2 linked regions of the Bombyx mori genome follow. The protein of the gene in region 2 purifies or fractionates together with the protein of the main gene of each other region. This does not show direct contact. Links are inferred from orthologs where the notes say so. Each region holds a gene or a part of one and is shown on either strand. Other genes may lie near its edges.

Region 1 (3,920 bases), on a different chromosome or scaffold from region 2:
AATGTTTAATTTGCAAGAGATGGGTGATGCTAATCTTTACTGAAACAATAGAGAAACGCAACTCTGTTAAGCACTGTTAAGCAGTATTTAGCATTTGAAGCATTTTAAATATTTTCACATTCATAATGGAAAAAAAATTGAGAGAAAGGATTACTGGTGTCCTGGTGGCATTTCCAGTTTCACAAGCGAGCACCGGCTCAGCCAGGAGCGACGGTAATTGCTAACAGCCTCCTGAGGGCCTCCGGAGAAAACTAACAACTCAAAGGCAACTGCTTCACGAATGAACCTCATTTACATTAATTTATATTTACTTGGCAATTCATAGATAAAATTATGGAGACCAGAGGATCTGTCGAGATATTATTTTATGACCGCGTCCGGAGAATTGGGATTTCGAGCTTCCTCAAATTGGTGATATTGACATGACTTCAATGCGTTCTTTTTTTTCCTACCTATGCTGGTACCTTAGAACGTTATTCTTGCGTAACTTGACGAGTAAGTGAGCTCGCGGGGCTCTAACCTGTGACGTTGCTAACACGAGCCCTAGCAAGAGCCGTGCTTCGCAGAATCTACCACCAGATCGGAAACGCGACCCACTGTGAAGATTCGGCAAGAAACTCAGTGGGCTGTGTCTGAGGGTTAATTTACTCGTCGAGCCCTTCGTCGCAAGCGACGGGTTCGACGAGAACGGTGACCGGTGCTTGAAGTACCTAAAAGCACCGTTAGTGGATCGGGAGGATCCGAGATGACGTGTTTTGGGCGATGTCGACTGCTTTCCATTCTTTCCGCAGGATCGGGAATGTAGTTACCGGCGGCCACGATGAGAGGGTTCTCGTGTCGTGCCGCTTTATCGAAGTGGTGCATCGACGCCGACTGCAGATACTTACTGATGGACTCTAAGTCCAGGTCGTCATGGAGGTCGACGTTCCTGCCGAACCACGGGGCTCCGACGGCTATCCTGCAAAAACGGGATTGAATGATTTGGAATGATTTTAAGTGAGTGCGGGCCGCGTGAGCGAACACTACACTTGCATAGGTCATGACGGGGCGTATGCAAGTTTTGTAGAGTGTCACCTTATTTCTAAGGAACATTTTACTTCGCCTGCATATCATCGGGTAGAATAATCACACAAAAGATTCCACTGGATTCGGTGTGATATTTTCGCCTTTTCTGTATCGAAAAAGTAAAACGACTAATGTCAAAAAAGCTGCTGTCATTGCTGTCACTAACCCAAAACGAAACGTGTTATTTATTTTGCGAGTTTTTCCGAAAAACATCCATTTATTGCAAATATGGTTTCTGTAACATAGGAACACTTTTGATATTATTAATGAACAATGGCTCGACATCGTAACATTCGGAACAGAAGTTACTCTGATGACTATGATGACGATGATTTTTATGGACATTCAGTGGAAGAGGATAGTTGTTTATCTCCAAGTGATGCGTCGCAATGGATCTACGACCGATCACGAAACCAACAGGTGATATCTAACCTTCTCGATAGACACAGCAATATCCAGGAGGAAGCCGAAGATGAAGTTCAAGATGTTCAAGTACCGGGCCCACAACGAAGAGAGTCTACCGACCTCTGCAGCCTCAAGCTTGACGCGGAAGGTGAAACCAGGCTCATGTCTTGCTTAGATGAACTTCGGAATATTTTAGGTGATACAGTATCGGAAAATACAATGATTCAGAGTGTGCTTAAACATAATTTTGATTACAACAAAGCTTTAGACGATATACTTAATAGTGATAAGAGTAAAAATAAAGATTCATCCACATCTAAACCAGTTAAGCCTGTTATTACTAATACAGTGAAAACCACAACAGCATTAGTAGCTCCTAAAGTTATAGCTACAAGTGTAGATCAGAAGAGTGCTGTAATCAAGGGTTTTAAAGTGGACCAAGAGCCAAAGCCTAATAGTCGCCCTCAGACACCTAGAGGGCAGTCTCCTCACCCAGAAAAAAGCAAGACTGAACAAAATGATGACATGAAAAATTTAAAAGTAAAAGAGAACAAAATTGATGCAAAAAAACAATATGCCAATGAGAGAGGTTCTGACAAAGATCATTTGTACATTGTCGTGATAGGTCATGTTGATGCAGGAAAATCTACATTAATGGGCAGATTATTATGTGAGCTCGGAGAAGTCAGTCAAAAAACTTTGCACAAATATGAACAGGAGAGTAAAAAGATTGGAAAGCAAAGCTTTATGTATGCCTGGGTGCTTGATGAAACAGGAGAGGAAAGAGTCCGAGGAATCACTATGGATATTGGGCGTGCCCAGATTGAAACAAAGACAAAGAGGGTTATAATATTAGATGCACCGGGGCATGCTGATTTTATCCCTAATATGATAACTGGTGCTGGTCAAGCTGATGTTGCTATGTTGGTAGTTGATGCAACTAGGGGAGAGTTTGAATCCGGATTTGATTTCGGTGGTCAAACAAGAGAACATGCATTACTAGTGAGGTCACTTGGTGTAAGTCAGCTGGCTGTTGCCATTAACAAACTGGATACAGCCAACTGGTCTCAAGACAGATTTAATGAAATCACCAATAAACTTAAGGTTTTTTTGAAACAAGCAGGATTCAAAGATACAGATGTCACCTATGTGCCTTGTTCAGGACTCATTGGTGAGAATCTTGTGAAACCAGCAAGCGAACCTGAATTAACTAAATGGTACAAAGGACCCTGTCTTTTAGATGTGATTGACAAATTCAATGTTCCAGAGAGGCCTGTGTCTAAGCCATTACGTATTTCAATCAATGATGTGTTCAAAGGTACCGGTTCTGGATTTTGTGTTTCGGGACGCATTGAAAACGGAGTTCTAAAGAAGGGCGATAAAGTATTGGTTTGTCCAACAAAAGAAATGGCTGAAGTTAGAAGTTTAAGTATAAATGATCTTACTAATAATGTAGCATTTGCTGGAGACCAAGTCACATTGACTTTGTCTGGGGTGGACATGCAGAATGTGTCAGTTGGATACATACTCAGCGATCCTATTGAGCAGGTTTCTGTTACAACACGTTTCGAGGCCCGAATAGTAGTTTTCAATGTTAAAGTACCAATAACAAAAGGCTTTCCGGTGCTTGTTCACTATCAATCATTGGTAGAATCTGCTAATATTGTCAAGCTTAAGGCATTACTCAGCAAAAGTACCGGTGAGCTAATTAAAAAGAAACCTCGTTGCTTAGGAAATAATTCTGTGGCAGTTGTTGAAATTGAGACCAGCAGGCCCATATGCATCGAGAGATATAAAGATGTTAAGGAGCTTGGTCGTGTTATGTTACGCGTCGCAGGTGTCACCATAGCAGCAGGCCTTGTCACTGATATTATCAGCACATGATTGATCTGATAAAGATTATTATAATCTAAATATACAACTAAAAGATTTGTTACTAATTGAAGATGTGATAAATTAAAAATATGGTTATGTTTGGACATTTTAGCTTTGCACGCGTGAATAGTCTACAATAATGTACTGTTTTGAAGTATAATTTATTATTTATAATGTAATGCTAATAAATTGTTTCATGTTACAAATGTTTTTTATTTCTGAATTTGAAAACTATGAGAATATGCTAAACAGAAGATTCTATCGACGTCCTTAAATTGCAGTTTATCTGATTCTCAAATCATTCAGGACACCAGCCAGTATTCTCAATTTTGTGCTACTTTTATTATTAAAATTGACCTAAGCATCCTACAAGTCGTATACGAAATGGACATTCTCATTCTCGCTCACGACTCGGTCGTGCGCGGACGTGCTTTCCGATCCGTGGCCCGCTTGCGAGCTGCGTCTCTGAACTCACAGTTGTGCTCGACAGTGTAGTGACCGTGAATACATCGTGCGTACAATTCGGTAGTGCGGACGTGCCGATCCGTTGGTCGCTTGCGATCTGCGTATCGAGG
Region 2 (3,932 bases):
TTGCGACCTTGGATACATTTCAGTTTTAATAGCAGCAGTTAGAGCTTGTCGGAGATGCATTGACATTTCTTGTGACTTGCGGTCCCCGCGAGGTCGGTTCTTTCGTTCACCTAGATGCGAAATGTTCGATAATAAGTCGTTTAGAAGTCGTCGTGGCCTAACGGATAAGACGTCCGGTGCATTCGTGTTGAAGCGATGCACCGGTGTTCGAATCCCGCAGGCGGGTACCAATTTTTCTAATGAAATACGTAATCAACAAATGTTCACGATTGACTTCCACGGTGAAGGAATAACATCGTGTAATAAAAAAAACCCGCAAAATTATAATTTGCGTAATTACTGGTGGTAGGACCTCTTGTGAGTCCGCACGGGTAGGTACCACCGCCCCGCCTATTTCTGCCGTGAAGCAGTAATGCGTTTCGGTTTGAAGGGTGGTGCAGCCGTTGTGACTATACTGAGACCTTAAAACTGTATCTCAAGGTGTGTGGCGCATTTACGTTGTAGATGTCTATGGGCTCCAGTAACCACTTAACATCAGGTGGGCTGTGAGCTCGTCCACACATCTAAGCAATAAAAAAAAAAAAAATAATAAGTTATGTAGCCTAATAGGCATATATATATAATAACCCTTATAAGTTGTGTAGATAAGAATATTCATATCTTTGGGTCTATCTTAGTTTCTTTTTGTACTGACGAGGGAATATCCTAGTTTTAACTTTTAAATGGGTAGAATACATAGACATCGCAGTGTGTATAATGCCACCGATTTTGAGAGACAGTCAAAATCTCAAATGTATTATGAAACTGCAAAGCATGATTGCTTCATTGTAAACATATAACAGTACCTACTTCTGCAGGCTTATCACATACATAATTGTATTGTTTTCAAATGTATAACATTTATAATATAACTGCCTATCTGCCAGCTATATGCTTACCTAAATTACATATTATATTATGTGAGTGGAGAATTTTTTTTATTCTCTTGTAGGCAGACGAGCATACGGCCTACTTGATGGTGAGTGGGTAACCACACAGTAATGTCGCCCATTGACTTCAGCAATGTCAGGGGCAGAGCTATTGCCTGCCGCTGACTGTGCTTAACACTAGGATAAAATGCATCCTATTTAATTTCCCATAGTAGAGTTTCTTTCATTTTCATGTTATTATTTGCTGTATATTTTCTAACATATAATGGCACTAAGTAAATTCCATAAAACTTTAAATGATGAAAACTTTTTGCATCTTTTGATTAAAATAAAACAAAACCTTTATTCTGTTACAAACAAATTTTTGTCCACCATAAAAAAAACTACACGTACGTAGTAAACGTATCTGGTTCAGTAGGTCTGATGATGTGCAGGAACAAATAAATGTACACACTGAAATTAATTCTAAGATTGATTGGAAATCCACGGATGTTATTAACTTGTGTATTTTTAATGTGCGATTAAGCTCATACAGATTTTTTTCTCTATATATAATCTCATTTATTTGAAGAGGCTTTTGAAAATATGTTGAACTCTCAATGGGTACCTGTTGAGAATGTAGCCATACTGTATTGGCAGTTGACAACTACAGCTTCTGTCGACATCTTCGATTTTGAAGCCTGAAAAACATTTTAAATTATAATGAAGGTTTTTCATTTATGAAGAACGTGTCCGAAAATGAAGTACCTAAAATGTGTAAATACATATTTTTTACCAGCTACTTGGTAAGAATTTGGTTACTAAAGCTGAAACACATCAAGACGTGAATGCGACCTTGGCACATGGGTCGATACTTCAATATTGTAAAATAGCTGTCTTATTCTTCAAGCCAGAAGGCATTACACTTTTGTAGCAGAAATAGTGCAATTTTGTAGCAGAAGTAGCGGGATAGTGATGATTATTTACTCAGGCAGATTTACAGACGTTTTGCCACGGTAAACTAATCAGTATTTGTAAATCGTTTGTATCATATACCTGATGGGGTCCATACACGGCTGCAAGCACTTTCGTGTTTCCTTGTTCGAGATACGCACTTCCATCAGGCTGGGTGAATACACCAAGTTTACATCTTATCCGACGTAATTCATTGGGTCTCCGCCCGTCAAGACGTAGTCCTTGACTCGAGAGTAGATCGGCAGCGGGCATTATTTAACTTCTAACAAAAACACATTAAAAAATAATGAATTGTTCAATATGTTGAATTGTTTTGTTAAAAATATTTGCTTTTTACTATGTTATATTATCATAGTCGATTCCGTTTTTAAAATTCGCGGTGATTCTAATAATTCATGAGATTGGTTATGGACGTTATGGTTATTAAAGAATAAAGACTAATAAATATATTATTTTCGTTCAATTATTTTTTAAACTTTATTTTGTAGGTTATGTTATCGTGTTTTTTTTCAGGGTAGTGTGACCTGGTAACTAAGACCTTTAAGTCATTTCTTATTTTAATTTATATTATTATTTTTATGCAAAATGATAATATGGAGTGAGATGAAATGAAATGAAACGAAGATGATTAATTTGAGACATTAATCAACTGAGATGAAATTAAATGAAATGAGATGATATGGGATGAAATATAATCTCAGTAAAATGGTGGTTATTTACTAAGATTTTTCCAATTTAATGAGCAACGTGTCAGGCAACTTGTCAGTGATGTTGAGTTGGGTGACCGCCGTCCTTCGCAGTTTTTACGTTATCTTAGATCATTGGCAGGAAAAACCCTCACTGATGAAAATTTGCTTCGCCAGCTATGGATGCGTCGCCTCCCACAACATCTCCAAGCAATTTTGGCCGCCCAATCAGAACTCTCGCTGGACAAAGTCGCTGAGCTAGCGGACAAAATTTTGGAAGTTTCGCCTGGTATGGTCGCACCTCATTCATCTGCTGTTTTCTCAGCAAGTACGTCTGCCGTCTCAACCCCTTCGTTAGAAGATATCACACGGCGTCTGGATGAGGTCACGCGTCAGCTTGCTGTGCTTACTGCAGAGCGCGGTAGAAATAGGACCCGGGATTTCTCAAACCAGCGACGACGCTCACAAACGCCTGGTAAGCTTCAAATGTGCTTTTACCATAGGAAATTTAATACTAAAGCTGTTAAGTGTATTCAACCATGTACCTGGACGCCGCCGCCATCTTCGGAAAACGACAAAAGCAGTCAATGATGGCGACGTCTGACTGCTTAAAGGAGAGTCGCCGATTATTTGTCACCGAAAGCGCAACCAAGCGCCGTTTTTTAATAGACACAGGCTCCGACCTCTCCTGTTACCCATACCAGTGGTTAGCAAATAAGCCGGTACGTTCAAACTATACGTTAGCGGCTGCCAATGGTAGTGAGATACGCACTTTTGGTCACATAGAAATGGCGCTTAATTTGGGGTTACGCCGCACATTTCAATGGCGATTTATTATCGCTGACGTCAACACCGCCATCATCGGCTCCGATTTTCTGGCGCATTATCGGTTGTTGCCAGATTGTGCCAGTAAGAGACTCGTCGATAGCATTACCGGGTTGTCATACGTTGCTGCCGTCGCTGTTTTAGACCAGACCAGCGTCAAAGTTGTCTGCGCGCCGTCATCCCAATTTAGTGCACTTCTTGCGGAATTTCCGTCCATTACGAAGCCACCAGGACTTATTCGTGAGCCGAAGCATAACACAGTTCATTATATTCTAACCACTGAGGGCGCCCCAGTCTCTTGTCGTCCTAGACGTCTGGCACCTCAAAAACTTCAAGAGGCCAAAAAGGTTTTTGATGATATGGTACAGTGCGGGACAGCCAGACCTTCGAAAAGTTCGTGGTCTTCTCCACTTCATATGGTCCCTAAGCGCGACGGCACCTGGCGACCCTGCGGCGATTATCGTGCGTTGAATTCACGTACCATACCTGACAGGTACCCAGTTCGCCATATCGGTGACGTTGGCCATAACATATCTGG

The links.
Region 1: the proteins of exosome complex component RRP41 (region 2) and protein HBS1 purify together in Homo sapiens (affinity purification with mass spectrometry; 3 studies listed by BioGRID and IntAct, with this or other methods). This does not show direct contact. The link is inferred for Bombyx mori from reciprocal best matches to the Homo sapiens genes EXOSC4 and HBS1L.

Annotation. Positions count from the first base shown.
Region 1 is NC_085121.1:12,890,607-12,894,526, forward strand, and holds protein HBS1, read left to right. Parts: upstream 1-1,024; 5' UTR 1,025-1,338; coding exon 1,339-3,354; 3' UTR 3,355-3,551; downstream 3,552-3,920. UniProt on the Homo sapiens protein: GTPase component of the Pelota-HBS1L complex, a complex that recognizes stalled ribosomes and triggers the No-Go Decay (NGD) pathway.
Region 2 is NC_085134.1:3,235,848-3,239,779, forward strand, and holds the start of exosome complex component RRP41, read right to left. Parts: upstream 2,556-3,932; 5' UTR 2,136-2,555; coding exon 1,965-2,135; intron 1,610-1,964; coding exon 1,537-1,609; intron 111-1,536; coding exon 1-110. UniProt on the Homo sapiens protein: Non-catalytic component of the RNA exosome complex which has 3'->5' exoribonuclease activity and participates in a multitude of cellular RNA processing and degradation events.